Linked DNA regions of Lonchura striata. The protein of the gene in region 3 interacts with the protein of the main gene of each other region in a pairwise test. Links are inferred from orthologs where the notes say so. Each region holds a gene or a part of one and is shown on either strand. Other genes may lie near its edges.

What was found.
Region 1: the proteins of THAP1 (region 3) and ZNF385C interact in a two-hybrid assay, tested with the Homo sapiens proteins (3 studies listed by BioGRID). The two-hybrid records come from large-scale screens. The link is inferred for Lonchura striata from reciprocal best matches to the Homo sapiens genes THAP1 and ZNF385C.
Region 2: the proteins of THAP1 (region 3) and BAG5 interact in binary tests that used the Homo sapiens proteins (3 or more experiments, as listed by UniProt). The two-hybrid records come from large-scale screens. The link is inferred for Lonchura striata from reciprocal best matches to the Homo sapiens genes THAP1 and BAG5.
Region 4: the proteins of THAP1 (region 3) and AP2B1 interact in binary tests that used the Homo sapiens proteins (3 or more experiments, as listed by UniProt). The two-hybrid records come from large-scale screens. The link is inferred for Lonchura striata from reciprocal best matches to the Homo sapiens genes THAP1 and AP2B1.

The regions. Positions count from the first base shown.
Region 1 is NC_134627.1:6,449,626-6,457,494, reverse strand, and holds the start of ZNF385C (zinc finger protein 385C), read right to left. Parts: upstream 3,016-7,869; 5' UTR 2,928-3,015; coding exon 2,891-2,927; intron 1,222-2,890; exon of another isoform or gene 1,137-1,221; coding exon of another isoform or gene 1,121-1,136; intron 1-1,120.
Region 2 is NC_134608.1:10,005,179-10,012,702, reverse strand, and holds the start of BAG5 (BAG family molecular chaperone regulator 5), read right to left. Parts: upstream 3,010-7,524; 5' UTR 2,938-3,009; intron 2,363-2,937; 5' UTR 2,334-2,362; coding exon 981-2,333; 3' UTR 1-980. Other genes in the region: COA8 (cytochrome c oxidase assembly factor 8), read left to right, coding at 3,127-3,225, 4,142-4,339, 5,396-5,459, 7,420-7,510. UniProt on the Homo sapiens protein: Co-chaperone for HSP/HSP70 proteins. It functions as a nucleotide-exchange factor promoting the release of ADP from HSP70, thereby activating HSP70-mediated protein refolding.
Region 3 is NC_134642.1:4,505,255-4,512,770, reverse strand, and holds the start of THAP1 (THAP domain-containing protein 1), read left to right. Parts: upstream 1-4,515; 5' UTR 4,516-4,617; coding exon 4,618-4,688; intron 4,689-5,344; coding exon 5,345-5,540; intron 5,541-7,516. Other genes in the region: transcription factor Jun, read right to left, coding at 1-525. UniProt on the Homo sapiens protein: DNA-binding transcription regulator that regulates endothelial cell proliferation and G1/S cell-cycle progression.
Region 4 is NC_134622.1:5,985,511-5,993,102, forward strand, and holds the start of AP2B1 (AP-2 complex subunit beta), read right to left. Parts: upstream 3,013-7,592; 5' UTR 2,938-3,012; exon of another isoform or gene 2,929-2,937; intron 2,889-2,928; exon of another isoform or gene 2,865-2,888; intron 1-2,864. Other genes in the region: PEX12 (peroxisome assembly protein 12), read left to right, coding at 3,078-3,203, 4,182-4,726, 5,378-5,777. UniProt on the Homo sapiens protein: Component of the adaptor protein complex 2 (AP-2). Adaptor protein complexes function in protein transport via transport vesicles in different membrane traffic pathways.

The DNA.
Region 1 (7,869 bases), on a different chromosome or scaffold from region 3:
GCCAGCGAGCCACAAGCCCCCAGAAATATTTCTTACTCTTGGGACTGTTACAGCAGCCTCCTGATCTCTCCATACAGAGCCTGCTGCTCTGTCAGACTTAAGCAGCACTTGGGAAGCGAGAGCAGCCACTCTGGAGCCCCGGCCAAGCATGATGGCAGCTCAGGGGTGGGAGCTCAGGGGTGCCAGCTCAGGGATGCCAGCTCAGGGACGGGAGCTCAGGGATGCCAGCGCAGGGATGCCAGCTCAGGAGTGGGAGCTCAGGGATTCGAGCTCAGGGATGCCAGCTCAGGAGTGGGAGCTCAGGGATGCCAGCTCAGGGACGGGAGCTCAGGGATGCCAGCTCAGGGATGCTCGTGTACGAGACTCGCAGCAGAAGTCACAGCCTGGCATGATGCCACAGCCCTGCTAACGCAGAGCCTGGCTCTGGGCTCACAGCCGGAGCCACATCCAGGGTCACACCAGCCTTTTTTTCCAACGCATGTGGCAGATTAAAGAACAAGCACCCTGCCCTGAACTCTGCATATGGCAGAGAATCACACTGGCAGCTACCAAGGGACCAACACGGCTCCTCCATCCCCACGGAGCCCTTCCACCCAAGTGACAAACATCACTCAGCAAAGCCTCTGGGCTGGATGCTCCACTGGAAAACACCTGCAGTCACGGAAAAAAAGGCAGTGGTGGTGGATTTGGATGGTGGTGGCTGAAGAAACTCCCAGCCAGGCTGGCAGCCGGGACAGAGGCTCATTTATCCACAGGCTGTCACACACAGTAACACTGCCCATTGGTGCTGTTTTCAGGCACCGTGCCCCACATGCAGACACAGCAGCTCACAAACATCTCCACTCCCAACTCAGAGGTCCCAGGTAACCAGGGGATGAAGCCAATGTGCGCACAGCACTGAGCAGGGCAGGGCCAGCTCCTGCCTCACATTTCCACCCAAAATTCGTCCCTGCGGGGAAAAGGTGCTGCCATACTTTGTGGGACCCACAGACACATCCAGTCCTTGCAGGGGCAGCTTTAGCAGCAATATGCCAGTGAGCTGATCCCTGCACACTTGTGAATGAACCTGGAAGCCCCTAACAGCCTCCAGGAGTGCAATTCCAGGCTCTAGACTGCTCACCTCCACAGAGAATCATCTCTTCTATTTAAGCAGCACTTTCAAATCTTGCTCCGAAAACAAATCGCAGCCTCTTGTGCCAAGATGTTGTTTTCCCACACGCCCATCCCGCAGGATCGGCACTCACCGCCCTGCCACGGCGCTGCCAGGGGCGGGCACAGGCACGTCCCTGTGCCGGGATCCGTGGGGTTTGCTCTGGGGCAGAGCAAGCCCCAGCCCTGCCCACCCCGATGCAAACTCCCTAAAAGCTTCCACCATAACTCGCTGCTGCTCCAAGCTAACAACAAAGTCTGTTGGTAATGGCCAGGGGAGAACCAGGTCAATCTGCTTCTGCCTCCACATGCCTGGAGCAGGGGATCCCGCTGCTCCCACCCGGAGCCACAGGCAGCAGAAAGCGCTTTTGTGCAGCTCTCTGAAGGTCCTTTCCCTCCGAGCCAAGAGTCCCGTGGAGGCCGCCAGAGCCTCGGCTGCGTTCCCAGCTCAGCTCCTCGAGTCCCGGTCCCGGCACGGACGCTGCAGCTCCGGGAGCTCTGCGAGGAGCCGGGGCACACGCAGGGTGCGCTGGGCACGGCAGCGGCACAGCCGGGCCCGGCGGGGCCGAGCACCGCTCCACCGCCCCCTGCCCCGCCTGGGCCGCGCACCGGGGCCACGCCGCGCACCGCAAACCCGGGCCAGGGCCGGGCACCGCAAACCCGGGCCAGGGCCGGGCACCGCAAAACCGGGCCAGGGCCGGGCACCCCAAACCCGGGCCAGGGCCGCGCACCGCAAAACCGGGCCAGGGCCGGGCACCCCAAACCCGGGCCAGGGCCGGGCACCGCAAAACCGGGCCAGGGCCGGGCACTGCAAACCCGGGCTAACACCGCTCACCCCACACCCGGGCTAACACCGCTCACCCCACACCCGGGCCAGTGCCGCTCACCCACACCCGGGCTAACACTGCGCACCCCAAACCCGGGCTAACACCGCTCACCCCAAACCTGAGCTAACACCGCTCACCCCACACCCGGGCCAACATTGCTCACCCCACACCCGGGCTAACACCGCTCACCCCACACCTGAACCAGTGCCGCTCACCCCACACCCGGGCCAGCACTGCTCACCCCAAACCCGGGCCAGCACTGTTCACCCCACACCCGGGCTAACACCGCTCACCCCACACCTGAACCAGCGCCACTCAGCCCCACACCCGGGCCAGCGCCGCTCACCCCACAGCCGGGCTAACACCGCTCACCCCACACCCGGGCTAACATTGCTCACCCCACAGCCGGGCTAGGGCTGCTCAGAGCCCCATACCCGGGCCAGCGCCGCTCACGCCCAGGTGCTGCCGCAGACCCCAGACCCGCACACACCCGTGGGGGACCCACGCCTGCACCCCACGGTGCGCGCACCCGGCGGGGACGAGCCGGGGTTACCGGCACCGGCGGGTCCCGCTCGGCGTGGGAACCCCAGCCCCGCGCCGGAGCGGGGCCGCGCCGGGGCCTCGGTAAAGTTCCGCTCAAGAAGTTTCCCTCCGAGCCTGACCCCTCCGGGTGGTCAGCGGGGCCGGGGTTCCGCCATCCCCGCCGCCCCTGCCCCGCTGCCCGGCGCCGCCGGGATGGAGCGCGGGGAGCGGCGCCTGCCCCGGGCGATCATCCGGCCCCGATCCCGAATCCCGGGGCCCTTCCAGCGCATCTCCCCCCTCCCGCAACTTTCCTTAGCCTGCAACTCCCCGTGTCCGCAGCCCGGCCCCGCGGCCGCCGGTACCGGCAGCCCGGCCGCCCCCGCCCGCCCTACCTGCCCAGCCGCCCGGCTCCGCCGCCGTCTGCAGCATCCTCCCGGCGGCTTCTCGCTCCCGGCCGTGCGAGCGCGCTCGGGGAGGAGGAGGAGAAGGAGAAGGAGGAAGAGGAGGAGGAGGAGGAAGGGGGGGGATGAAGGCAGCTCGCGCGCCGCCGCGGTCCAACCCCCCCTCGGCGCCGCGCTCCCGCACGGAGTGGGAGGGGGAACGGCGGCGGCGCATCCCGGTGCTGCATCCCGCAGCTGCATCCCGCAGCGGCGCAGGGGCTCGGGGGCATCCTCCCCGCTCTCGCTCACGGCTGCCCCGGGCTGGGACTGGGGGAACACAGGGCAACTCCCCAGGCTCTTCCCAGGGGCTTTGGGGGTCGGTAAGGTGCGCGGCTAGGAGCGCAAAGGGAGGTGACACCGCGGGGCTGTGGGGAGGGCACCTGAATTTCAGGGTACTGAGATGCCGTGTGCGACCAGCGCCCCGGAGAATGGCGGGTCAGGTCTCAGGACGAGGGTCTCCAGTCCCGCACCCTGAGCGGCAGCAGACAGCCCGGCTCCCCACGGAGGTGGCATCGCCGGGGGCTGCAGCTCTTTGCGGATGGCAGAACCCCTTCTCCGACCCTGGCCCAGCAGGGAGGGACAGAACCTCGGGCAGAACCTCCGAGAGGCTGAAGAGGAACCGAGGGCGGGATGGAGGGAGGGGGCCTGCCCGGAGATGCTGTTTGCTCCTCAGTCAGCGCAGCGGGAGCGCACGGTGCCGCCGGGCAAAGGCGCCTCTGCTGCCATGCTTAGCCTTGTGCTAAGATCAACAATTTTAAGTGCAAAAGTCTGAGCTGGCCTGTCGCTGTCATCATTGTTAATATTTTAGCAGCTCCCAGAACCTTTCAGCAGGGCCACACAGTGCTGACACAGGAGAGGAGATATAAAAGCATCCTGCTGCCCGCCCCAAGGAATACGCTGTCTAGACACGTTATATAATCACATTTTGCCCTCCGCCAGGACACTTTGCAGAGGATCTCAAAGCACTTCCCAAAACTGCTAATTGAACTTTGGAGCCCAGCTGGGAGGGAAGTGCTCTGGCCGAGAGCTCTCCTCTGGAGCAGGTACCCAGGGACTCCTGTCTGCCAGAGCAATTGCCTGCTCACTGCTTTGCCTCCACTAAAACACGGAATTGGTGCCAAGAGGCAGAGGTGTGATCGGCCCCGAGCTGCCGCTGGCAGAGGCTGGAGGCTGCAGAAGTGGGGCAGAGCACGTGCTGCTCCAAACCCCTCCGAGCCCACAGGTGCCCACACCTGCAGGAGGCTCCAGGGCCACCAGCTGCCAGGGAGGGAGAAGCCAGGAGCGGGGAGTCCCAGTTTGAGCTACTTCTGGGTCTGGAGATCCTGCAACACAAGCAGGTGGCCCAGGAGCAGCAGATCCTACCTGTCCACACCAGAAGTCCCTTGCCCCGCTGCTGTCAGATTCAGGTCCCCAGGAGCAGCAGTGTGGCACCACTGAGCCTTGTCCTGGCTCACCATAAATCACTTTGGCTTTTCAGAGCCCTTTTGCCAAAGCTCAGTGCATTTGTTTGCTGTGCCATCTGATTTTCACAATGTAGGATGGGTTTTTTTTTTCCCTCCCTATAAATAATTACAGGCACTCTAATGGATCTCAAACTTTACTGTACCTTGGCTGTCAGGAGCTTGATGATGATGGTGTAGCCTTCTTCTCCAAGGAGCAGAGGCAGGGCTGGGGCTTCTCCACACATTTTTCATTTACTTTAAGCCTTTCAGCCTCCTCCTGCCTCCAGCAAAATGCAGGAAAGGGACTGTACTCCCCTGCCAGGTGTGGGGATCAAGAAGTGCAGGGATGAGGTGAGGGCTGACCCACAGCTCCCAGCATTCCAGCACTGGGGAGTGTGGATGCATTCCTTCCCCTCCATGCGAACTCTGGCTTCCCTCTTCCAAGGGCAGCCCTTCATCCCTAAGACACTGTTTGTGCCAAGACCACGGTCACCCTCAAACATTTTGGTTTGCTGCAGATATCTCCAAAGCCGAAGACAAAACTCGAAACAAAGAGAAGGTCATCTCCAGCTGCAGCCCCCTGAAGTGCCGTGGGACAGAGCAGCAGAAGGCACAGCACATCCAGCCCCTCCATCACACTGTAGTTGCTCACAAAATTTCTCCCGACCCAGTTCTCAATTCTGTGCAGCAATTTTGTGCACTTGAAGCAGCAGAAATGAGCCTCTGAGGAAACAGGATGGGGTGCTGCCAGGAGGGAGGGAACTGGGAGGGAATGGGCACTGCCAGGAAGGAATGGGCACTGTCAGAGCAACACTTCCTCTTTCTTCATGCCTCTGGAGCTCAGCAGCTCTGCTTCCAGCAAACAGGGAGTTTTACAATTAGACCAATGCTCTGCATCCTTTGGCAGCTCTGACATGCCCCCACACAGGGAGGTGCTGGCACTGCCCAGGGACACTGTGGTGGCACCTCTCCAGTGGGACAGGCGATGGGTAGGTGTGACAAGCTGTCCCAGACGTGATGCTTCGAGACATTGCCAATCCCAAATGTGGAACCACAGTGTTACAGTGAGCTCATGGGCACTCTGTGCCCCCTTTCCCAGGACCCTGTGACTCTGATCAGGATAACCCTGGACCCCTCCTTCCTGCCCTGACAGGGTTGGCGGAGAGCCAGGGAAGCCCACCCTGTCCAAATTCTATACAGACCCCTGACATTTCCTGTTCGTTCTCTTTTGCCCTGCTGTCCCTATGGACATCACAGAATAAAGAGAGCTGAACCAAGTATTTCAGGAGTAAGAGCCTCTTTTGGAAATCTTTGCCATCTCCTGATATTCCTCCCCTCACAGCCTCGGACCTGTGGGCTAGCCTGATAATTTAGGGGGCTGAGAGGGGGGAAACATCACCACAGGACCCCAGGGAAGGAGGATTCCTTCCTGCAACACCCACAGGGGTCCCACAGCACCAGCTGGCTGCAGTGCCCATCTCTCCAGGTGCAGTTGGAGCTCTCTCCTTCCTCGGCCAGCGCCAGGCAGAGCTCAGCTGCTGGGTACAGAGGCCGTGGGAGACAGAGGGCAGAGGAGGGGCTGTGCTCAGGGGCTGAGCCAGCCAAGGAAGGTGAATGTGGGGTGGTCAGGCCCAGCACCACTTCCCAGGAAGGCTCTGGCTCCTCGGCCACCGCGCTGAGCCGTGCCAAGCTGCTCCGGCAGCTGCCGTGGCCGTTCAGCAGCTGTTGAGCTGTAATTGCTCATTGAGTCATAATTTATTTTTTTTTTCCCAGTGAAAGCGGCGCTGTCAGGGAATTAAAATCTTTTCAAAAGGCCATAAAGATTTCATAAACGCTTCAGAGCCAGATCAGGGGGGGTTTAGCACCTTCACAGCCAGGATCCAGGGAAGGCAATGAGGAGACCAGAAGTGGAACACTTGACGGCCGTAACTGGTTAAAGGAACGACAGCACGGGGCAGCACCAGCCCACGGGGAGCTGAGCAGGCTGCAGTGCCCCTGCCTGCAGCCTGCTCAGGGCAGCACTGCTCCCCAGCCCAGCCTGGCTGCAGGGGCCCAGCTGGGCTCCAGGTGCCTCAATTCACCTTGATTGCCAAGACACGCTGCTGACCTGGCTGTGGGGTGTGGGATGTGACACCACAGCAGCTCCAGAGCCAGGAGAGCAAAAAGCTGACGTGAGGGGACTGCAGCTGCACCAGCCCCAGCGTTTGGCTCTCACCTGTTTCTCATCAGCTCAATTAGCAGTGACCCAGCTATGGCCAGATGGGAAGTTCAACCCCACAGCCAGCGTGGGCGAGGGGCACTGACCCCACAAACACCCATGTTTGAATTCAGAGGTGTCCTCAAAAGCAAAGGTTTGCGTTCTGGAGGAGCTGTTGTAGACATGGAATAAGGTTTTGCACTGCTGCAGCTCTTCCCACATCAGCAGATGTTTGCAGGTGACGGAGGAGCCACGTTCCCACCAGCAGCCCCTGTGCCAGCCTGGGCACCTGCTATTTTTAGTGTGAGCCGCCTTTGATGGTCTCTCTGTGAGCTCTGCAAAATATCTGGGCCAGGCAGATGCAGCTCCCACAGCCCCACTCTGCCACAACACACATCTCAGGGAAGGACTCGGAGATGCTGGATGAACTCAGCTGGGACCCCCGTGCCCTGAGGGATTGAATGGGCAGAAGCTGTGCCCCCCCAGCCCCACAGAGCTGGACTTTTGCACCCCAGGATCTGCACAGCCACATCAGCAGGGCAGTGTTAACCCTCACCCTAAACCTAAACCTCACCCTAACCCCACCCCTGGCACCGGGCACCGTGGGCAGGACACCCCCATTCTCTAACTGGGGTGCAGAAACAAGAGCACAAATGGGTCAGAGCTGAGCTCAGCACCCATTTGGGCACCCATGGGTGCAGGAACTCCCCCACAGCTGCAGGAGGAAAAGAGGGACTCCCTGCACTGCTCTGGAGCCTGCTGGCCCCAGCACCTCTCACCAGCATCGGGCATCGCTTGGAGAGGCACCTGAGCCACAGAGGCACCAATAAATCATCGGTAGGGGAGAGGCTGCTGTTATTTTATGGCCGTTGTTATTTCCTTCCTATTGTAACTTTTAATTAAAATCTACAGAAGGCCGATAACTGCTTCCTCTGCATAATTGCAGGGAGTAAATTTTATTATATAGGAAAGTGGTTTTAATTTTTAATGGACTTATTTTTAAGGAAGAGCAACACTTCGGAGGGATCTGTGAGCCCCAGTAACATTATCAAAGGCAAGAAGAGGAACAAAGATGGGTTTATTACCTGTTCCCCATAAAACTGTTATTTTAGGGGAGTTTTGTGCTTCCTCCTAATGAGAGATGAATTGCACCAGCTTCATTTGCTGTAGGAGGAAAATTAAAATGAAACTGATAAGAGCCAAGCCTCTAGCTCCTGACTTACCTCCCAATTATAAATGAAAGCTCACAGGCATTCCAGAGATGGGGCTTGATGTCTACATTAATTATAAAT
Region 2 (7,524 bases), on a different chromosome or scaffold from region 3:
ACACTTATATCATTAGTGACATCTTTATAGCTGGCTACCTAATTTACAAAAATAATTCCAAAATGCACATTTCACTTCAAAGTGAAGTCTCTTTTTATGTTTTCGCCAAATGTGAAAACCAGATGCAACAGCAGAGTTTAAAAAGACACCTAATTAGCCTAAATAAAGTTCAGTGCAGTTTTCAAGGGTTTATGGATGGCAGTTTGAAATCCTCAAAATCCCCTTTATGTGTTTGGTATAAACGTACAGATTTTCCTCTCCAAGTCTCAGTACCTTAAAGCAATAACTTGAAAGAATTTCCACCAACAAAAGACCTGGTTTTGCAAATCAAAGGTCTCAGGTATTACAAAAATTGACATAATTGGCTTTGCCTATGTAAATGCTAATTTGCAGCTGGCATTACAGCTCCATTAACTGAGATATCTAGATGGCATGATGGATGGGAAAAATCAAGTACAATCCAAAAGCCAGCAGGCTTTTTGTCCTTAGAACTTTATGTCATGACAGCACATTAACAGTACATCCAGACTGCTGTGAAGTTGCTGGATGGAGCCTCATGCCTGAATACTAATTTTCACGTTCACTAATTTTCAAGTCTCCTTAAATAGTTTTGCCAGTACTGTACCGTAAGGAAGTTTCTGTGTCTTTGAAAAGCCTGCATTCACTAAACATTGCACAAGGCAATTGAAATAAAAACAAGAAAGAAAAAGAGAAAAAAGAAGAAGCTATTTGATCAAGTATTAAGCTATTCCTTCAGAGAATTGCACTTTGCTTATATCAGTGACCAGAATTGCTGATGGTGTACTGACAGTTGCCATGGCAAGTGGGTGACTGCGTGGGATAGCAGACATATAGCCAAGTCAACTGCTTATGCAATTTCCATGATTTCAGCAAGCACAGAAGACTTTATTATGTGCTGCCAATGATCTTCATAAAGTGCCAAAGGGAAAAATGTTCTTCTGTATCAGGCCATGGCTGTTTCAGTATTCCCATTCATCTGTTTTCATGTCCAGATAGTAAAGAATATTCTGTGCAAGCTTTACTGCCTGCTTCCTAGCAGCCTTACACCGCTCATCACCTTGCGGATCAACAGCATCCAGGGCTAGAAGTTGTTTTGTAAGAAGTTCTTCCAGTCTCATGTAATTTTTATCTGTTCTGTTTCCATCAAATGAAATCACCTCTTTCTGAATTTGAGACAAGTTTCCAAGTACAGTCCAAACTGCTTTATGAGACTGATGTTCAGCAGCAGTTTGCTCTGGATACATTTGCCTTTTTTCCAATGCTTCCTTCAAATCAATATATGTTATAAGAGTCTGAACTTCAATTACTGCTCTTCTCCTGGCCTCTCTAATACAGGGATTTTTTCCTGGACTCACTTCATCTAGGTGGGCAATTAGTCCCTGCAACTCTGCTTTGGATCCCAGATACAAATCAGAAGCATTCTCTGTTTTTAGAAGTAAGGAATGAACTTCCTTCATCTTCTTACGGATCTCTTCTATTTTTAGAATAGACTGATTTTTTGCCAAATCATAAGCATGACTAGAATCTGCTTCTTCATCCAAGTCCAGGTATTTCTGCAATTTATTGATCTCTTCTACTACTTCCTTTCTGTAGTTTCTTATTTCCGTGCGACCGCAGACATCTAAAGCATCCAAATCAGCAATGAGGCCTGTGAGCACACAGGACAGATGCCTGCAGGTATCATTACTACTCACTCCCATTAGAAGTGCAATGAGAGTTCCTCTGGCTTTGTTCACTTCACACATTACAGAGTTAATTTTGGAGACAGAAGGATGAGCATCATTAGAGAGTGGCAGGGACAGCTGTTGCTTTAGACCACTCTCTATAATCTCCTGAACAGCACATATCTTTGTCAGAGTGCGGTATCTCGCTTTGCGTAGAGAAACTTTGCCTCCAGTTTTCACCTGTGTAAGCCTCAGCACAATGTCCTGAATTCCTTCTTCAAATTCATCACTTATACGGTTTCCTCCTTTGTAAGAAGCCGTGATCTCGCGTTCCACAAGTGACTGTGCCTCCTTGAATAAAGCCTCTATTTCCAGTCTGCGCGGATGGTTTGCATTTTGTTCCAGTTCCTTCAGCAGCCTCTCAGTTTCCTGGGCAGCTCGCTTTCTGGCTTGCTGAATATCCCCCTTCCCTTCGGTGTCTACAGAATCTATTTCAAACAGCTGTTTCGTAAGGCTTCTTTCCAATTTCTTGTAATCTCGGTCGGTGGACAGACCGCTGAAGCCAGCCACTTGCTGTTCAATCTCTTTGACTTCTTTCTGGATTTCTTGTAACCGTTTTATGGATGGGTGTTGGTTACCCATATCCATTCCTCTTCGCTCGTCCAGCTTCAGATGAACTACAAGGAAAACGATAACAAGACTTAAGCGCTACACGAGCACACATCGCAACTTTTACATTCTGAAGCACTTCAGCATTACAGCTATTTTAAGTATCTTCACCAATACAAATAAACCACTTGGCTGATGTTTCACAACCCTTTAATTTTTCCACACCTTTCCAAAGGGGGGACGCTTTAGTTGCCACACGCCCAGCTCTAGGATGTTCACCCCCAGCCTTCCGCCCTGCCTTCCCCACCTGCTCTGCAGCTGCAGCCGCCGCAGATCAAACAGGGCACCCGCAGCCCAGGGGAGAGCCCGCAGCGAGGGGGGGAACAGCGGCCGAACCCGGCCGAACCCGGCCGCCGCACCCGCCGAGCAGCGCTCCTTCCCGCACACACCTTGCTGCCCCTCAGGACTCGCCGCCCCCTCCATGGCCGCAACCTCCCGCCTCCCCCGCGGAGGGGCCCGGCGCACCGCGAAGAGGAAACGACACCGGGCCGCCGCCGAGGCACCTGCGGGAGGCCCGTCCCCACCGGCCCCGCAGCGAACCCGCGCGGCGCCCGCGACCCGCCGCAGCCGCTCCCTCACTCACCCGCCGCCCGGCGAGGCCCCGCTGCCCGGCCCGGCGCTGCGCCACGGGCCGAGCGCCGCGCAGCGCCCGAGCCCCGCCCGGCCCGGCCGCGCACGGGGAGGCGGAGGCCGAGGCGGCTCCGGGCCCGGCCCCGACCGAGCCCCGCCCCGCCCGCGGCCCCCGCGCGGCGGCGCCGGAAAGCGCCGGGCCATGGCGGCCGCCCGCGGGCTGCGGGCCGGGGGCTGTTACCGCCGCCGCTCCCGCTCCTCCGCCGCCTCCTCCTCCTCCTCCGAGCGGCCGGACAGCGTGGTAAACCCGGCGGGGGGCGGCAGCTCCTGCGGGGGAAGCCCCGCGGAGCCCTGCGTGGGGAGCGCTCCGCTCCTCCCGGGAACGCCGGCGGGGCGGGGGCGGCCGTGGCAAACCGCGGTGCCCGCGGCCTCTGGTTTTCGATGTGTTTGTGGAGGCTCCCGGTGTTGGCTGTTGGAGGGGCGCTGAGGTTCGGGCTGTTGGCTAACGCCAGGTGTTCCTGAACCCGGCTGGGGCAGGCACACGCCTGTGTGTGGGCACATGAAAGCAGGAAGAACACCGGGCTGAGGAAAACTTAGAATCGTAGAATTATAAAATACGCTGAGTTTCAAGGCCCCCACAAGGATCACCGAAATCCCATTCCTGGCCCTGCACAGAGCAGCTCTAAGAATCGGACCATTGAGAGCGTTGTCCAAAAACTCCTTGAGCTTGTCATGCTTGGGGCCGTGACCCTATCCCTGGGGAGTCTGTTCCGGTGACCATGACCTCTGGGTGAAGAGCCTTTAATATCCAGCCTAAACTTCCCCTGACACAGCTTCACCCTGTTCCCTCGGGTGCTGTCATTGGTCACCAGAGGGCAGAGATCAGCGTTGTAAAAAACTTGGATACTTACTTGCTAGTTCCCTCCGTGAAATACTTTAACAGAGTATCAGTGGTAGAAAAATTAAAACAGAAAAAGATATCTCACGATTTATGCTCATGGTAAGAGTTAAAGGTCTTGTAGTGCATTTGTAAGTAAAAGTAAATTGTAAATGTATGCCATTGTTTGTGGTCACAGTAAACAAATGTGCTTTATTTCTGAACTTGCTACGCTTGCACGCTTTAAGGTTCCGAGGCGTTTGGGCATTCATTCCGAGTTGAGACGTTCTTCAGCAGCTCTGCGGCGGTGCTGCTCACACCTTGTGTCTGTGTTCCACAGGGCCCGGGTTTCCGTCCCCCCGCGCACTCGCACAGCGACTGGATCGGTCCCCCGGACAAGCTCTCCAACCTGCGCCCCATCATCTTCTACGTGCCCCCCGAGGAGTCGGCGCTGGAGCGGCGGCTGCGGGAGGCGCGCCAGGAGGCCCAGGCCAGCAACCAGCGCTTCTGGGCACGGCACAACCGCGCCTTCCACCAGGTGAGCACAGCCTCGCACCTGCTGCTGCTGCTGCTGCTCAGCACCCGCCTGCCTGCCCGAAACTGGGGGGCTCGGCCTCTCTGAGGTGGGGCGCAGCTCTGCCCGCTGTTAATGCGCTCAGGGTCATGCAGGAAATGGCGGGTTTGTCGTTCATTTATTTAAATGATGCACAAAACTAAGAAGTCCACGTTTTATTGCTGCCTAGGGGCATAGAGTGTTTACCTTTTTCCTGTCTTGCACTGAAAGTATAAAGTTGTAGCTGCCCTACATGCAAGACCTGTCTCTGACTAGAGCAGCTGATGAAAATTATTCCATGGCTGGCTTTTCTCTTGTCATAAGTGAGAGAAATTTGGTGTAATTACAAAGACTAAATGAGGGTAAATAATATGTCCCATTTCATTGGCAGCGTATCTTAGCAAGGCTAAAGTGAGTGTCTTTCCTGATTTTAGCATCTCCCAGCCAATGTGGCATTTTTTGGAAGAACAGTAACAGTTCAGTAACTCACCACTGTTTATGATGTTGAACATCATATCCTCTCAAAACTTGCAAAGATCCCAGAACAAAATGAATCTTGTTTTTTTTTTTTTTAATACCACATAACTGTGGTATTAAAAAAACTGTTTAAGTCCATGAAACACACACAAATGATTATTGTGCTTCCATCTAAATAGTTTTAATTTTTTTAGGCTGCACCTTTTCCTCTATGCTCAAAATCTCAGTTATGTCATACAGCACATTCCATAGTTTATATAAACTGAAAGTTTGACTCCTGTCGAACAGCACTGAAGTTTGTCTGTAGCTTTACTTCACAAATCAGTTTTATAAGTATCAGTAGGACATTTGCATTAATTGATGCATGCAGGTAGCAGGAGCAAAGTGACCAGTTTTAACTAACTCACTGGACTAAGAAAAGTGTTCAGTTGACACTTCCAAGTGTAACGAGTATTGCTAGTTATTTCAAAGGGTGTTGAACACGACATTGCTATGTAATTAAAAACAATGGTTAACTTCAAGGACTGACTGCATCCCATTCTAATGTGGAAAAACGTGTTTTAGGAAAAAGAAGAATTTATTTATTCAAGACTGAAAGCCAAGGGTCTGGAAATGAGAGATGAATCAGGTTAGTGAGATCTTTGTTAATAGTTTAGGATGCATTCTGAATTTTGTTTAACTTTGAATTTTGTTAGTTTATGCTCTTTGTGTTCTGCCACAAGTAAATCTTAGGGGTAGGATTTAGAAATGTTTTCAGGAGTGTGATAATAAGAGAGACAAGGAGCTTTTCAGAGATGTGCATGTGGGGGTCAGATCATTTGTTGCACTCTCTCCCCCTAATTCCTTCCCCACAGCCAGAAGGAATGTTCTGAAATCCTAGCCCAGTGATATAATAATGTAGCCTAAGGAGGGAAGGATTTTTTACTTTCACACCTCCTAAGCCAGTGAGCTGGCTGACATAAACATACAGAGCATTTGCCTCAAGTGCATGTTATGGCTGGGCGGTTAAATTCAGAGTCTTTGGCTTCAGGTCCGTGGTGTGTCCAATGAATGCAATATTTTTCCTTGAGGGAGTGTAAGGCAGCTTCTGGGGAGCTGGCAGCTGCTATCTGCCTGTCTCTGCCTGGGCACAGTTGCTGTAAAATAGTTGTCTCTCTAATTCATTATGCGAAAATGAAAACAAAATGCCTTCATAATAATCGTGAATTGGGCATTGTGGTATGAGGTTGAACACTTTGTTCACGGAATAATGATCTGTTTGAGTTCAGGGAAGCATCTGCTTTGAGGTTCTGTATGTCACAGACCATTATTTTTCTTTTCTGTTTGTATTCTGGTGATCAGTGTGTGCTTGAGAAGTAATTTTAATTAAGATATATGTTGTTTCAAAACCACTTCTTTTATATTGCTTTTTTGTTAGGTTTTTTGTTTTGCTTTTATACTCTAGAAGTAAAAGACCACATACTTCCAGTAAAAATAAATCTATATCAGATGCATGCCTTTGGTCAGCTGTTCTATAATATAGCTGTGAATGTTTGTGAAAATATTAATGAAGAGTGAATGAAACTTGCTTTCCTATGTAATTAATCAGTTTTGCTGATACCAGTATGAAGAAACAAATGAACTATAAGTATTAAACTGGCAGCCTTCAAATGGTTTTATAGTTAATTTGTCCCATTGTCTGTTAATACATTGTGATATATTAGTTTTTAAATAATGACAAATAGAACCAATCAGTAATTTACATTTCTGTGGTCAATCTCAAGAGCCTTAAAATGTATTTTGGAACTGTAACAAGTTGAATATTGCAATTCCATTTCCCTCATCATATCCATGTTCTCTAGGGCATTGAAATTTGACTGTCATTTTAGGGACATTTTGTGCCAGAAGGGTTGTGTAGGAATTGTCTGGTAGAATTGAGAATATTTGCTGGTTCTCAGGATTAGACATCTTATGCTGTAGCCATAGGTCTTCCTGGACCTTTTATATTCTGCTTATGGGTGACATATTCAAAATCATCTTTTGTATTTCCTTCTTCTCAAAATAATTGCCTACTAGATTGTTTGGAATCTGACATCTCAGAACATAAACTTTTTGCCTGCAGTTACTTGAAATTTATTAACAGCAATATAAAAAGAATTACATTTGAAAATACCATGTCAATTGTGGATAGTGTTCTTTTGATATTTATGGACTTGCTTTAGGGGGGAAATTGTTACTAAATGCTCTTATTGGTACTCTTTAGGCTTCAGACTGTGAGAAATTATTTTATTCAAAGGATAGATACTCCTAGATCTATGCACATTTTAATAGGGTTCACTGGTTCCCTAAGTAGTCTAAGAGCTGGTAAACTTTGTTACTTCCACAAGTGATGGGTGTTTAAGAGCTATGCCAACTTCAAGATGATCAGTATTTTTCATCTGCTGTGCTCTCTAGATAAGTTTTAAAAGGTTGAAAGTTAAAGACATATTATTAACTTGTTGAGGTTTAACAGAAAGCTTGTAGGAGTAAGGAGTTAGACCTAGCATCTGAACCCACAGTCTTGATCCAAAGAATTGCCTTGACTTTGTTACACCAAAACCTATTTTCAGGTCAAAAAGCAACACTGAATGCAGAAGAAATGGCTGACTTTTACAAGGACTTTCTAAGTAAAAATTTAAAAAAGCATTTGCAGTACAACAGGTACGTAGAACGTA
Region 3 (7,516 bases):
CGGCGCCGCCGCCCCGCCGCTCCCCGCCCCGGGTGCCGTCGGCCCTGGGCTGCCCGCGCCCAGCCCCGCACCCCCCTGGATCAGCAGCTGCTCCAGGTCGGCGGCCGGCGGCAGCTTCAGCAGCGGCAGCTCCGCAGCCGACCCCAGCGCGGCCTCCGGGCCGCCCCGGGCCGCCGCCGCCCCGCCGGCGCTCCCGGTCTCCGCGGAGCCCGCGGTCGGCGGCGGGGCGGCGGCGGCGGCGGGCGGCGGCGGCAGCAAGCGCAGAGCCGCCGCGCTGCCGCGGGCGCCGGCAGGCGGGCGAAGGGCGAAGGGCCCCGGGAGCGGCGCGGGGGCGGCAGCCGGCAGGTCCCGCTTCTTGCCGGCGCCCAGCAGCAGCTTCTGCCCGGCGGCCGCATCGGCTCCGGGTCCGCCGGCGGTACCGAAACCCGGCAGCGGCACGAAGTCGGGCAGCAGCTCCAGTCCTTCCTCGGGGTAAAACGGCGCCTCCATCTTCACGGCGGATCGCCCGCTACGCCCGCCGCTCATGCTGCCGCCCTCGCCGGCCGGCGGCGGCTCCGGCGCGGGGCGGGCCGGGCTGGGCGGCTGCTCCGCGGGGCCGGCCGCCCTCGGCTGGCAGCGGGGACTGAGCCGCCTCCCGGCGCCGCCGGACCGCGCCACGCCCCGGGCCCGCTGCCCGCCCCGCCGTCGCCGCCTCCCTGCTGCCGCCGCCGGTCCCCCCCGCCCGCTCCTTCCCCCGCCCGCCGGGCGTGCGCGGAACGGCTTCCCGGTGGGTGTCCGTGGGGAGCCCGCGCTGCTCCTCCCCCTCGGAAACTCGCCCCGCGGCTGCGGTGTGGGGAACAAGGCGCTGCTGGGGCCTTCCTCCGTGAACGGGGGAGTCTTCTCGGGGCCATTAGTCCGGCCCGAGGACCGGGAATTCTCAGGAGGAAAGCGAGCAAGGGCATCGCGTGGCGGCTGCTGGGGCAGGTGCCGGTGCGTTCCGTCTGTGATGGATGGGCACAGGATAGTGCAGGTGTCGAGGACTAGTGATTCTCAACAACACAGTGCTGGGAAGTCTGACGGGAAGTGCTTGGCCATCATGAAAAACTCCAACTAGTCAAACTAAAAGTCACTCAGAAGATGAAGGCCATGAATTTGATGATTTGATGTGGCCTTTTTTCCCTGGGAAAAAAAAAAAAATTAAGAAAAAGAATTTGAAACATCCTAGACATATTTCCAACATTTTCAAAATTACTGAAATGTGAATAGCATTTTTCAGTTTGGAGGTTGTATTTATTTGTTATTTTATTCAAGACAATTGCCTCTGCCTTTCCCCAAGTTTTTCAAATTCTTATGGGATAAGGAAATTTCTTTCTACGCAGTCTTTTCTAAATCCGTTTTGCTTCAGGACACCAATGTGATCCTGACAGAGCTGCTGAAAGCTCTGCTTTAAGTCTTTAAAATCAGCTTGGTGACTGATGGTCTCAGTGGCTTATCTACACATTCACAAGACCTTCTCATCTGTGATGGACCCCCTCAGTTAGGTGTCACCTTCTGCAACCTACTCATGCTTTCATGCTTTCTCCCCAGGCATTTCCTTCCTACATATCAAGACCATGTGCCTCTTCTCACAGTGTCTAGAGAAGTTGCTAAGTTCTGCTTTTAGCACGATCTGTATGGCCATGCTTTGCCCCCCTGTTCCTAAAGTTCATTCCAAAACCAGCAGTGGAGGAGGAGATGGACAGTGGTATCAAGTCCAGGACTTTGACTCATAATCCCTCTTCAAGTCCACAGAACTGGAGTCTAGGTGCACTGAGGCTTTGATGACCTTGACTCAAGCAAGTACTTTGGGGCTGCCAATTCTTACGTATGGGTGCAAGAGCTCCTTTTCAACACTGTCCAGCACCTTCAGTCCCTGCCTGGCTGTGTCACAGGTGTCACCCTCTTCTGCTTCATCTCCTGGGTGAACCTTGGACCTGTGTTTCCAGTTCTGTTCCTGGTACCATCTCCTGCTGCTCCTACCTGAATTACCTGGGTGGACCTGGTTCATCACCTCACCGTGTGTGGGTGTGTCCATTCGTGCCTGCCGTGCTCTCGTGCTGCAGGACTCTGTCCAGGCTGGTGAGCCTGGTTCTGGTCACCCCTAGCTCATTTTGCCATGGGACAAAGCCCAGCTCTTCTGGTTCTTGAGGCTGTGGCAGAATTGCTGCCCAGAAAACTGGCAACAGAGGGAGAAGAAAGCCATCAGGCACAGGCCAGGGACAGAGGCATTCACATGGGTAGGGGAGGAGTAAGCATGTTTTTCTTGGTGAGGAAGGTAGTGCTAGAAAGAGCTTATTTTGGTTTCCTTGTCTCTTGGCTGACCTAGCAAAAGAGGCAGCAGAGCTAACAGTGCTCAGCCAACAGAGTACTGAAAACATCTCATGTGAGTGACTTTGTGGAAGTATAGATTAAGCTGCTGTACAGGCTTTTCTGTCATATTCCTAGGCAAGCAAGTGGCAGTGACTGGTCCCTTCCATCAGCTGGGCAAAGAGAGCTGTCTAGGCAGAGAAGCCACAGACTCCAAGCCAAGGCAAATAAACCTTATTTTCTTTCCCTCACAAAGCAAGTGTAGACGGGGAAAGTAGGCTGAGTGGGGTCAGAGAAAAAGCCATGGAGGTTAATTTAGGTCTGGGGTTATTGTCAGTGAATTTCTAGAATATACCATTACACTTGACTGGGGTGATCCTAAAGGTAGGTTCCTTCGTCATTCCTATACAAAAACTGTCACTTATGTAGGACAGTTTTAGTTGTTGATCGAATGCAGAGTTCAAAAGTGAGCCCACAGAATGGTAACATGTTGAAACTGCTCAAAATAAACCTATTTGTAACAACAAATGGATTTGTTGAGACATCTATCTACTGTCTGCTGATGCACCTGCACACTACGTTTAGGCGAGTGACACGGAGTTGTTTTACACGACCTTAATGCAACTGTGTGTTATAGCAACGTGGTCTTCCCGTTGTTTGCTTTTGCCTTTCCACCGCCCCTCCTTTTTATAAATTTTTTATTCTTCTCCCCGAAGGAAGCCAGAACCTCCCGCGGGGCTCACAGCGCTGGGGCAGCCATCCCCGGCCACCACTGTGGGCACGGCGCGGCCGGAGCGGCCTTGAGGGAAGGGACGGCCGCAGCGCAGCCCTCGGCCCCGGGGCTGTGCCTGGCGGGGCCGGAGGCGCTGCCCTGCTGCGGATGGGGCGCGGAGAGGCGCTCCCCAGATGGTGCCGGATGGGGCGGACGGCGCTGCCCAGCTGTGGGTGCAGGGTGTGGGTAGCACTGCCCAGCTGTGGGTGGCACTGCCCAGCTGTGGGTGGCACTGTCCAGCTGTGGGTGGCACTGCCCAGCTGTGGGTGCGGGGTGTGGGTAGCACTGTCCAGCTGTGGGTGGCACTGTCCAGCTGTGGGTGCGGGGTGTGGGTGGCACTGTCCAGCTGTGGGTGCGGGGTGTGGGTAGCACTGCCCAGCTGTGGGTGGCACTGTCCAGCTGTGGGTGCGGGGTGTGGGTGGCACTGTCCAGCTGTGGGTGCGGGGTGTGGGTAGCACTGCCCAGCTGTGGGTGGCACTGCCCAGCTGTGGGTGCGGGGTGTGGGTAGCACTGTCCAGCTGTGGGTGCGGAGTGTGGGTGGCACTGCCCAGCTGTGGGTGCGGGGTGTGGGTGGCACTGCCCAGCTGTGGGTGGCACTGCCCAGTTGTGGGTGCGGGGTGTGAGTGGCACTGTCCAGCTGTGGGTGCGGAGTGTGGGTGGCACTGCCCAGCTGTGGGTGGCACTGCCCAGCTGTGGGTGCGGGGTGTGAGTGGCACTGCCCAGCTGTGGGTGTGGAGCGGAGGGCGCTGCTCAGCCTGTGGAGCGGAGCGCCGTGCCCAGCTGTGGGTGTGGAGCGGAGCGGTGGTGCTTTGCTGTGTACGTCAAGAGGAGGGCTCTGCCCAGCTGTGTGCGTGAAGCGGAGGGCCGTGCTCAGCTGCGGGTGTGTGTGGAGCGCTGCCCAGCTTGTGGAGCGGAGCGGCGGCGCTCTGCTCCGTGTGTGGAGCGGAGGGCGCTGCTCTGCTGTGGGTGTGTGTGGAGCGAATGGCCCTGCCCAGCTGCGGGTGTGGAGCGGAGTGGCGGCGCTCTGCTCCGTGTGTGGAGCGGAGGGCCCTGCCCAGCTGTGGGTGTGTGTAGAGCCGCGGCGCTCTGCTCCGTGTGTGGAGCGGAGGGCCCTGCCCAGCTGTGGGTGTGGAGCGGAGGGTCCCGCCCCGCGGCGGGTGCGGGGCGGGGGCGGAGCGCGGCCCCAGACGGGGGCGGAGCGGCGTGAGGAGGCGGCCGGATTGGCGAGCCCGCCGAGCGAGGCCCCCGCCCCGCCCCGCGCGCCGGCGCGCCCAATGGGCGGAGCGCGGCGCGCGCGGCTACCGCGAGAGGTTCCGTTGAAGCTGGCGCCGCCATCTTGGAGTCGGGAGAGGCCGCGCGTCCCGTTCCCGTCCCTCTCCGGAGGGCCACGGGCGTGGGGGGGGGGGGGGTCCGCGGGAGGCGGGGGGAGCATGGGCGCCCTGCGGTGAGTTCGCAGCGCCCCGCCGGCTCGTCCATCCCCGCGGAGGGGCCGCGCCGCGGAGGGCGCGGGGTTGGGCGGGATGGTGCAGTCCTGTTCCGCCTACCGCTGCCGGAACCGATACGACAAAGAGAAGCCCATCTCCTTCCACAAGTGAGCGCGCGCGGCGCCGGGGCGGGGTCGCGCCGGGGAGGGGCGGGGCCAGCGCGGGGCCGCGCGCGCGAGGGTGGCGGGGAGCCGTGAGGGAGCGCGCGCGGGCGGGCGCGCCTCACGGTCGGGCTGAGGGACAGGGGGACAGACCGGGCACAGACAGACAGGGGGACAGACCGGGCACAGACAGACAGGGGACAGACCGGGCACAGACAGACAGGGGGACAGACCGGGCACAGACAGACAGGGGGACAGACCGGGCACAGACAGACAGGGGGACAGACCGGGCACAGACAGACAGGGGGACAGACCGGGCACAGACAGACATGGGGACAGACCGGGCACAAACAGACAAGGGGACAGACCGGGCACAGACAGACAGGGGGACAGACCGGGCACAGACAGACAGGGGGACAGATCGGGCACAGACAGACAGGGGGACGTGTCCCCTCGCTGCCCCTGAGGCTGGGGTGCCTTGCCCCCCGCCCCGGAATCTCCCCTGGGGAAAGCCGGAGGGACGGGACCCTCGGAGCCGCCTGTTGCAGAGCGACAGCGAGCAATGAAACCCCGTTCCCTCCTCACCCCGATGAGGGGCAGGAAGATTTTTGGCTTCGTTTATCAAGCTTTCCAGAAAAGCTGAAAGTGCCTCTTGCTTGCAGGTTTCCTCTTACGAGACCCGATCTTTGCAAGAAGTGGGAAGCTGCTGTTAAGAGGAAAAACTTCAAGCCGACCAAGTACAGCAGCATTTGCTCAGAACATTTTACCCCCGATTGCTTTAAGAGGGAATGCAATAACAAGCTCCTAAAAGAGAATGCAGTGCCCACAATATTCTGTTACACTGAACCCGGTGAAAAGGTATCGCTGGCTGGGGGGCTATGTACAAATCACGGACGGGACGGGACCGCTGAGGAACGTGTCTCAGGCTGTTTATTTTTTCATATCAGTCTTATTACATGGTTTTGACAATGGGGATACAATACACAGAGCTCCATTATTAAGCTTACAGCTTCCTAATATCTCAGCAGATATACTTTTCTACAGGAGTTATTCTACCCAAGCGTTAATACACAGACCGTAGTTATATTTGTCCTTTCTACTTCTTGTATAATTTTTCTGCTGACAAATCTTATAGCTACTGCTTACCTCTAAATCACCATCCTGCTGTCTCTTTTTACCTACCTTTTACAATGTGCCTAAAACCCTCAGACTTTAAAGAATCCCACAAAAAGGTAAACCCAAAGGACCCATGCCTGCAGGTGCTAGGACATATTGTGTATGTCATTGGTTGCAGCGTGGCAGGGCAGCGAGCAGGGAGAGATGTAGGCTGGAAAAGGATGGAGGCTGGCAAGATGCTGGGCCTGGGGTCACCAGCAGGGCTGTGGTGACTGAAAACACCTCCAATAGCGTGCTTGTTTTCTCTGAGGCTCTCTGAGGCTTTGGATCACAAACTGTTGTACAGGCAGACACTGGCTCTGACCTGCTCGTGTGTCTGTTTATTCAGCATCCATGTGCTGAATTAAATGGAATGGCAGCAAAGTAAGAAGGTGTTGCCCTGTAGTCAAACTATTCCACAGTAATTCCTGCATATTCAGGGTCTGAGAGCCATCATTAATGCTTGCAAATGGCACTTGCTCTCTTCCCCTAACCCTAACCATTGAAGACATGGTGGATGTTAACTGTGAAACTTAACCAGAGGGCTGTGCTTTGGCTTTGCAAAGTAAAAGTGAGCGACAGAACCTTACCTGCACCTGCTATCTGTTTGTCCTGAGAGCACCTCTGTCTTGCCTTAACATTGTTTTCAAAAGCCATACTTGTCCCTGACTTCTGAGGGTAGAGGCTTCTGTGTGAGGTGTTCTTCCCTTCACTGTGCCACTAGAACAATTTACTGTGAGATGCAGGTCACTTATGAGTTCTCCTTGATGTAATGACTTCAAGACAAGAATGGAAAAGACTGATTTTTAACTCCTTTAAAGGATATAAAACATTTCATCTCTTTCTGCTCTGCCATAGAGAAAGTGGCAAAGGAGACAGTCGTAGATAGAGTAGGTTTGGGGAGCAAAAGACTTAAATGGGATGAAGTGCACAGAGTAAAACTCAGATTTTTCTTGTTCAATTTTTCTCTTTATGTAACATGTTGGAATGTTGCAGAAATAAAAAGGCTACACATTTGAAAAATGAAAAGTGGCTAATAACAGATAAGAATATAAACAGAATGTAAACAAGGAGACAGACAACTTACAGGAAAATACAGTTGTGTTTTTGTTTGATTGCACTTCCTTACTTATCTGTGAAATACACATTTTCTTTGTTGTGTGTAGAATACTTGCAATTTTTTTTAGTCTGAAAGCTGAATGGGTGTATAGGGTAGTCTGCAAAAGCACTGTTGGTGCAGCAGGATTAGTTGTGAGACACATTTCCAGTTTTACTGTCATACCTGGATCTACAAAAACACAGAAGAATGAGTGCCTTTTAATTCTGAAGGATTTATTTCTATTTTTATTTGTCTCATGGCACTTTTGAACAAACTGCCATAAATCTTCAAGTAACATTGTAATAGCAAAGAATAATTGTGATTGTTTTGGAGTTGAATCTACATGGATTTTGAAATACAGTCACTCTGTGTAATTTGGTATACTTTATTTTTCTTTACTTATGTCTTAGGAGAAGTACTTATTGTCTAGAATAAATAATTAGAAGTCACTGCTGATGTCATAGAGTTACCAAAGATCTCTGTTCTCTGTGATACATTGTGACCATAATAATTTGTATATAGAGGTAGCATATACACTATAGCTTCAAATAGAAGTCTCTGTGAATTCAGCAGTCCAGCA
Region 4 (7,592 bases), on a different chromosome or scaffold from region 3:
ATGACCTTAAAGGCTGCCAGCAAAGCAGTAAATCATCTGTTCTCTAAATGCTGCCTTGTCTTGCCTCTAAACCCTGCAGGTCTTGCTGGCTCAGCAACAAAAGGACCAGCACAGCTTTGAACTCCAGGACTGCCCAGCAGCAAAGTCAGATTGTTCCTCCTTAACTCCTTCCTCCCTCATCCCTTCACCAACCCCAATGCCATCACCATTCCATTTTTCCCCATCCACCTGGACCAGCTGAACACCTCAGCAGTTGAATTCCAAGCAGCTGCCGACGGGCAATGCCCCAATTTCCACCCCTTTCTCCTGGGATCATCCTTTCCAATTGCCAAACATCTGCATGAGGATCAACCTGTTGCTTTTCCCAGTTTCCTGGAGCTGCTGCCTGCCCTGTGCCCACCTGGTTTCCACCTCATCCAATTAGGCTGAATTACTGGGTTTGGTTTGATTTCTCTCCCTTTCTGCTCCTGCCAAGCCTGGAGACAGCTCTGGAAACACATTCCTGGTGCAGAGGAGGTTTAACCTCCTTCCAAAACAGAGTTGGGAAAGCCATGTGAGCCACAATGAATGCAATTCTTCCAGCAAAAATCTAACAGCCCCCCCTGAAAGCAGAGGCTGCTGTGAAGCTTGTTTTGTAATTAAAATCAGAGCCTGTGCTCAGCTGCAATATTACTGCTGACAGAGTCCTTCAGGTTTGAGCTCAGCTTAAAAGGAAGACTTAAAATGTTTTTCTCTGTGAGAGTATTTGGCACAGTGCCATGCCCAAAGCACTGAACGTGGCCTTGATGTTTGCATTATGTGGGGATTTGTCATCCAGGGTCACATCTCAGCTGAGCTGCTCTAACACAGCTTTAACTGGGGCCAGAGCAGATTAGAGAGAAAATGGAGGGGAGGGAAAAAAAACCCAGCCCAAACACCATAAACATCAGCCCATTTGAATAAAGCCACACACAGAGAGGAAGGAACCCTGCTGGCTTTCAGAGATGGTTGTTAAACCTCAAGTGCAACATATTTTGCTGTTTTTCTCCTTTCATATACTTGGAAACATGAAGAATCCTAGAAACGCTCAGACAGGGCTAAGCACAGCTCATGCCTTTCCAACCTTCTTTCATGGATCTAAATGAGAGCTTAGGTCAACAACCAGCCTGCCCTATTCCAGGTGCAGCAGAGGGTAAAGCTCCTTTTCTCACAAGCACACAGATTGCTGCTTCATGTGTGTCAGAGCTTGCTTTGCACACTGTTCAGAGACAGCCTGCCAGCAGCACTGGCTATTATCTCATCACTAACAATCTCAGCATTCTTTACAGCAAATGGAACCAGATATTTAAAACACTGCTGTTTGTGTCACTGCAGAAAATGCCAGCTCCTTGTACGCAAATCTAAACCCAGGAGAGCTAAGGTAAATTAGAACATCAAGAACAGCCTTGTATTTTCAGAAGAAAAATCTACTTTAGACTGCCCCTCCTCACTATTGTTCTATGCCCAGCACTTGCTGAGATGGAAACAGGTAAGAGGTGTTCAAAGCTGACAGCAAAAGGCTCCTCCTGATCCAACCCCAGCAAAGGAGAAGAGATGAGAATGAGGAATGGCTCCAGAAAGCTCCAGCAATGCTTAATGCTACAAACAGTGGCTTGATATTTCAGTGTAGGCTGAACCAAAGCAAGATAAGCCTCCTCAGCCCCAACCCACACAGAAAACCTGACCCTGTGTCTGACCAACACCTGCTTGACCCCACACATGACCCCAGGCAGCCTCACCCGCTCCCCAGCACTGACCCCACACAGGAGGGTGACAGGTTTAAGGGTCTTGGATTAAGGCAAGCTCCTGGACACTGAAACCATCAATCCCTAAATCTCTCAACTGATCCCTGGTTTAATTCCAGTGTAAGTGGTGCCACCCATTTTTCCTGGAAAGCCTCTCAAGGAGCTGTGTGACAGCCCAAGTGTGGCCCAGGGCCACTGGAGAACCAGGAAGATAAACACAACAATGGAACATGGATGGCAGAGGAAGAGCTGCTCTGCAGCCCTGAACTTGTGCTGGCACAAGGATTTTGTTCCCATTCTGGAGACGCAACACCCCCTTGGTGGTCCCCATTCCACCTGTTCCTCCTACCACCTACCACCATTCCTTGGAAGCCCCATCCCAGCTTTGCTGCCAGCCCCTCCCACACCTCCAGCAGGACTCCCAGCACCCACCCACACTCCAGACTGGCATCCCCCTAAGCCCCCTGCCCACCAGACCTTCCCCAGATCTCTCCCAGGATCCCCCAGCTGCAGGCACATTCCCCACAAATCCCAGTTTCCCTCCCAGCATTGCCTGCCAGTCCCTCTTAGTACCCAGCCCTTATCCCTAACTGCTCCCACTGCTACCCCAGTACCTTGCTGTGCTCATTCCCATCCCAGTCCATCCTCCAGCACCCCCACCTCACCCCAGGACCCACTGACCCCACTCCTCACCCCTCCACCTCCTCTGCAACCACCTGCCCACTCCTCCCATCCTCTTCCAGTCCACCTCCAGAACCACTCCCAGTGCCTGACCAGCGACTCTCCCCACGCCACTCCAGTTCCCCCTCCCAGGAGCACTCACCCCCTCCCAGTACCCCCCTGGTGCCCCTTCCCACCCCACCCCAGGTGTCCCTCCCAGTACCCTTCATCTCTCCCAGTATCCCCTTCCCACCTATACCAGTGCCCCCCAGTATCCCCTCCCATCGTCCCTAAGCAGCATCCCTCTCTCCCCGCCCCACCCCAGTACCTCACAGCTTCTCCCCCACCCACCCCTCCCCACCCTATGGCAGCACCCCACCGCCGCCCTCCCCTCTCCCAGATCCCCTCCCAGCACCCGCTCAGCCCCTCCTCATTCCCCACCAGCGCCCCTCCCCGCCGCCCGGCCGCCGCTCCCAGCGCCCTCAGCCCCGGCCCCCTCACGGACCGCACTCACCGCTGCGGGGGCGGCGGCGGCGGAACCGGAAGCGGCGGGGCCGGGCGGGCTCGCGACGGCCCCGCCACCATAGAGCGGCGGCGGCGCGCGGCGCGCGCTTCCGGGAGAGCCCCCTGGCGGCGGGGCGGCGGGCCGGCGGCATGGCGGAGCTGGGCGCGCACCTCACGGCCGCCCCGGCCGGCGAGGAGCGGCCGTCCGTGTTCGAGGCGGTGGCCCAGGACAGCCTGATGGCCGCCGTGAAACCCGCCCTGCAGCACCTGGTCAAGGTGAGGGCGAGGCGGGCCGCGGGTGAAGGGAGAGGAGGGGGGGCTGGCGTGTGACTCCGGCCGCGCTCAGGGGCAGCGGGACGCTTGGGAGCCACCTGAATTGTGGTTGTTATGTGTAATAAATATAATTTGCGCCATTCCTTGTATGAAATATGTAATATTGAATACTTGTTAAATCATGCCCGTCGTATTAGTTCGCCCCGCACCCTTGCAGGCGAGACTGGGTGTATATTGGAAACTGATTTATAAGTAAAAAGATGTGGCTCGGCCAGGAGCTGGGCCATGGCTGGGCTCCAGGTGTTGATCATCGGTGCTGATCGTCCAAGATGGATATGGAAATCCTCAGACAGATCCATGTGAATGCAGCCTTCCCGTAAACTCTCATCAAGAATTCAACTACTCCGGACATTGAATTATTTCTCCTCATCACCAAAAAAAGAAAATCTTATTAACCTATAGACTCTGAATAGAAGAAAAGACTAACTGCTGGAATCTTGGCCTCAGGCGGAATTTTCCCTATAAAAACCGCTTGTACCAGGATGGAGGTGTGGGCATAGGAGAAAACCTCTGCTGAGGCTGACTCCTTGTTGCACACCCAGGGTCGATCCCGGGCTCGGCTCTGTCCTTTCTGTGTGGCTGGCTAGATAGAATTTGACCGCAAATAAAATTATTTTTATTTTTAATCTGGCTGAATAAATTCTCGTTTATAACATGGTGAGAATGAGAGGCATCGTTTATAGCTGCTCTGATTTATAATTTAGCGCTTTACTCTGCTTTTTACATCCTTCCCTTCCTCAGGCACAGGCTGCCCAGAGAAGCTGTGGCTGCCCCATCCCTGGGATGTTCAAATCCAGATTGGACGGGCCTTGGAGCAGTCAGGGATAGCAGAAGGTGTCGGGCTGGAACCGCATGATCTATAATGCTCCTTCCAGCCCAGACCACTCTGATTCCTCCTGTTTTGTGTCCCTTTTCCAACAGGTGCTTGCTGAGTCTAATCCTGCCCGGTATGGGTTCCTCTGGCACTGGTTTGATGAGATCTATGTCCTTCTGGATTTGCTGCTCCAGCAGCACTCCCTGGCCAGGTGCAGTGCATCCTTCTCTGAGAACTTCTACAGCATGAAGAGGATCCCAATGGGAGATGGCAGACAGCGACCTCTGGCCACAGCTGGCCTGCCAAAGAGGCAGCACTGGAAGTCTCTGCTCCTGCTGGTTCTTGTTCCTTATCTGAAAGGGAAGCTGGAGAAACTGGTGTCCAGCCTGAGGGAGGAGGATGAGTACTCCATCCACCCTCCCTCCTCATCCTGGAAGCGCTTCTACAGAGCCTTTCTAGCTGCCTACCCCTATGTAAACATGACCTGGGAGGGCTGGTTTCTTATCCAGCAGCTCTGCTACATCCTGGGCAAGGCTGAGCATCATTCCCCCATGCTAAAGCTGGCTGGTGTCCGCCTGGTCAGGCTGACTGCAGAGGATATCCAGGCCCTGGAGAAGAAATGGGCTGAAACCACCTCAAGTCAAACACACAGGTATGGCAGAACCTGGCTCAGGTGTTGCTCTCCAGGGGGTTCTGTGGGCATGTAAATTTAGAGATGATGCTGCAAGTACAAGTGCCTTGTTCTCCAAAAATTCAAGATGAAAGTTTGCTCTTGACAAAATGTGCTCCAAAAGGATGTATTGTGAGTGAAAATAAGTAAACCAGTAGCAGGGATTAGCTTTAAACTATTTTGTGGTAATATTTCAGAATTTGGGGGCGTTTTTGGGCATGGAAGCCTTTATTCTGTTCAGTCTTCCCCTGCACTTTTCCAGCAAAGGAGGTGCAACAGTTGCAGCAATGTTGCTGAAAGGATTGAAACTTCTTTCTTTGATTTTCCTAAGCAGCAGTTAGTCATGGGCACACTCAATACCCTGTGATGCAGGAGTGAAACACTCTGTGGTCCAGGATCCTTTAATCCAAATTCTTCTGATTTAGACTTCTCAAAAAAGCAGCATTTGGATATTCCTTAAAATAAAAAAAGTATCTGAAACATCCTAGTAAGTGCAAATAGGGGGACGCATTGACCAACTAACTTAGCGTTAAGGAGCTGTGTGAAGCAGTCACTCCCCAGGTGCTTTTCCCATGGTTTCTAGATGGATAAATGTGCAGTAGTAACCACCTCTCCTGCTTCTCTCTGCTCCAGCTTTATCTCACGAGTGCAGTTGGCCCTGAGGAAAGCTCTGGCTGGCATTGCCTTCTCCCTGTCCACCGGCCTGTCCGTCAGCGTGTTCTTCCTCCAGTTCCTGGACTGGTGGTACTCCTCAGAAAACCAGGAGACCATCAAGTCCCTGACAGCGCTGCCCACGCCCCCACCGCCCGTGCACCTGGAGCAGGAGCCCGGCTCTGCTCTCCTGCCCAGCCTGAGGACCGTGTGCCCCCTGTGCCGCAAGGTCCGCGTGAACGCCACGGCCCTGGCCACCTCCGGCTTCGTGTTCTGCTACCGCTGCGCCCACGGCTACGTGAAGGCTCACCAGCGCTGCCCGGTCACGGGCTATGCCACAGAGCTGCAGCACCTGGTCAAACTCTACTCCCCTGAGAGCTGAAGGGCTGCCAGGAGTCTCCAGCACCTCTTTGTGCATCCCTTGGAAGGCTTCAGAGCACCGCAGCTCCTCGGTGAGCTCTGCAGCGCCCTTGGACTCGGTGGTTGGTCAGCTTTGCTGCCTTTGCACACCCTGGCAATGCTCTGCCCTTTGCTGATAAGCTGTTCAAACATCCTGGCAGTTGCAGAGGGATCATACAGCCCCTGCCTGTCAGCCAGCACTGAAGTGCCATAAAAGACCAGCTGAAAGGGAGGAAACATTGATCCTCACATCTACATTCCTCTTATCCAAATCGAAGACCAGCACTGGTGCTGCTTGAGGGCGTGAGCCAGCAAATTAAAGAGGTAGGGAGATTCTCTAGGCATGTTTTTCTTCCCTGGGCAGCTTCCCAGGCCCTTGTGCTGCCCAGGGTGAGCTCTGGCTTTGTCAGAGGTGGAGACAGGCTTAAACCTGTGCTCTTCAGCCTCCTGCATTTTCAGGCTCTTCATCTTGGAACTGAGAACATCACCCTCCAAATTCCCATCAACAGTTCTAAATTAAGACTTTTGACTGTTTAAGATGGACAAGAGGAATGTGACATTTTCTGCACAAGAGAGAAAATGACAAACCAGATTAAAACAAACTCCCAATTGATGAGAGGGGTTTATTGTTAAAGAAGTCTTTTCATTCATTATTACCTGCTTTTATAAAGCGAAATTCTTTCTTGACTGAGAACCTAATTTAATTCTTTTCTGGTTATTGAAAAAACAGCTTGCTTCTCTGGGGAGCAAGAGAGAGACATAAGAGAGACAAGACTAAAGCTGCTTTCATTTTTCCATGTGATGGTAGTGGATGTAAGATTAGCATTTTGTAGGCTGAGAATCTTTAATGTCTGAGCATTACATTGCAATTATTCCATTCCCAACCATGTAGCACATTCATATCGGAACAAAACATCCTTCCACTGAACAGAGGAGGAAATAAAAGCTGTGTGACATGGCTGGCTCTTGCTTGACACCTGATTTTTCAGATGAAAGGTTGTTTTCCTTACTCTAGGGAGCAGCAGTACTCCAGATATCACGGTGACAGTGCTTAGAGAATACAAGAGCAAAGTCTGCTGCACAGAGTCCAGGACCCCACTCTGGTCTTTCCAGATTTAGAGATATTTTCTAACATTTAATCCAGACATCTCATTTTCTCTCCACTTTAGCTCTGCTTCAGAAGATAAAAATCCCCAATATCCTCCTTCACCTGTAAGCAAGAGAATAAGGTTATTGAATAATGTGGGAAAATGCAGTAATTTGAATCTTCCCCAAACACCTAATAAACGAGATTTGTTCCTGGTGCTTTATTATCTCTGTACACCTCCCTGACCCTTCTACCTGTGCCACTATGGAATAATAAAAACTCTGATTTATCTTCTCCAGTAGCTATGGAGTCCATGAAGATACTTCTCTTCCCTTTAGAGAGCCAGTAAGGACACACATCTTACTGGAAGATGAATCACGTCGAGGTGTGAGATTTTCTGAGCTTCCACATCACTTTTTTGTTAATGTCGTGGTGACTCCAATGCAAAGCTCATTTAAATAAGCATTTGATTGATGATTGCTTTTCAGGATAGGTTTATTTTCCTGCACAGAACCACCCACATCGAAGCCTCCCAGTTCTGAGCAGCTGCAATTACTCTTTTACACAATTGTCCTTTAAAGCTTAGCTGAGTAACAAGTGTCAAACCCACCATGGTGACAGGCTCAGCAGTTACCTGGCAGATTTTGTGTGATCCTGGAGATGGCTGCAGGATACCAACTGGGATTTGACTCCTTTGAAACCTCCTGTCCT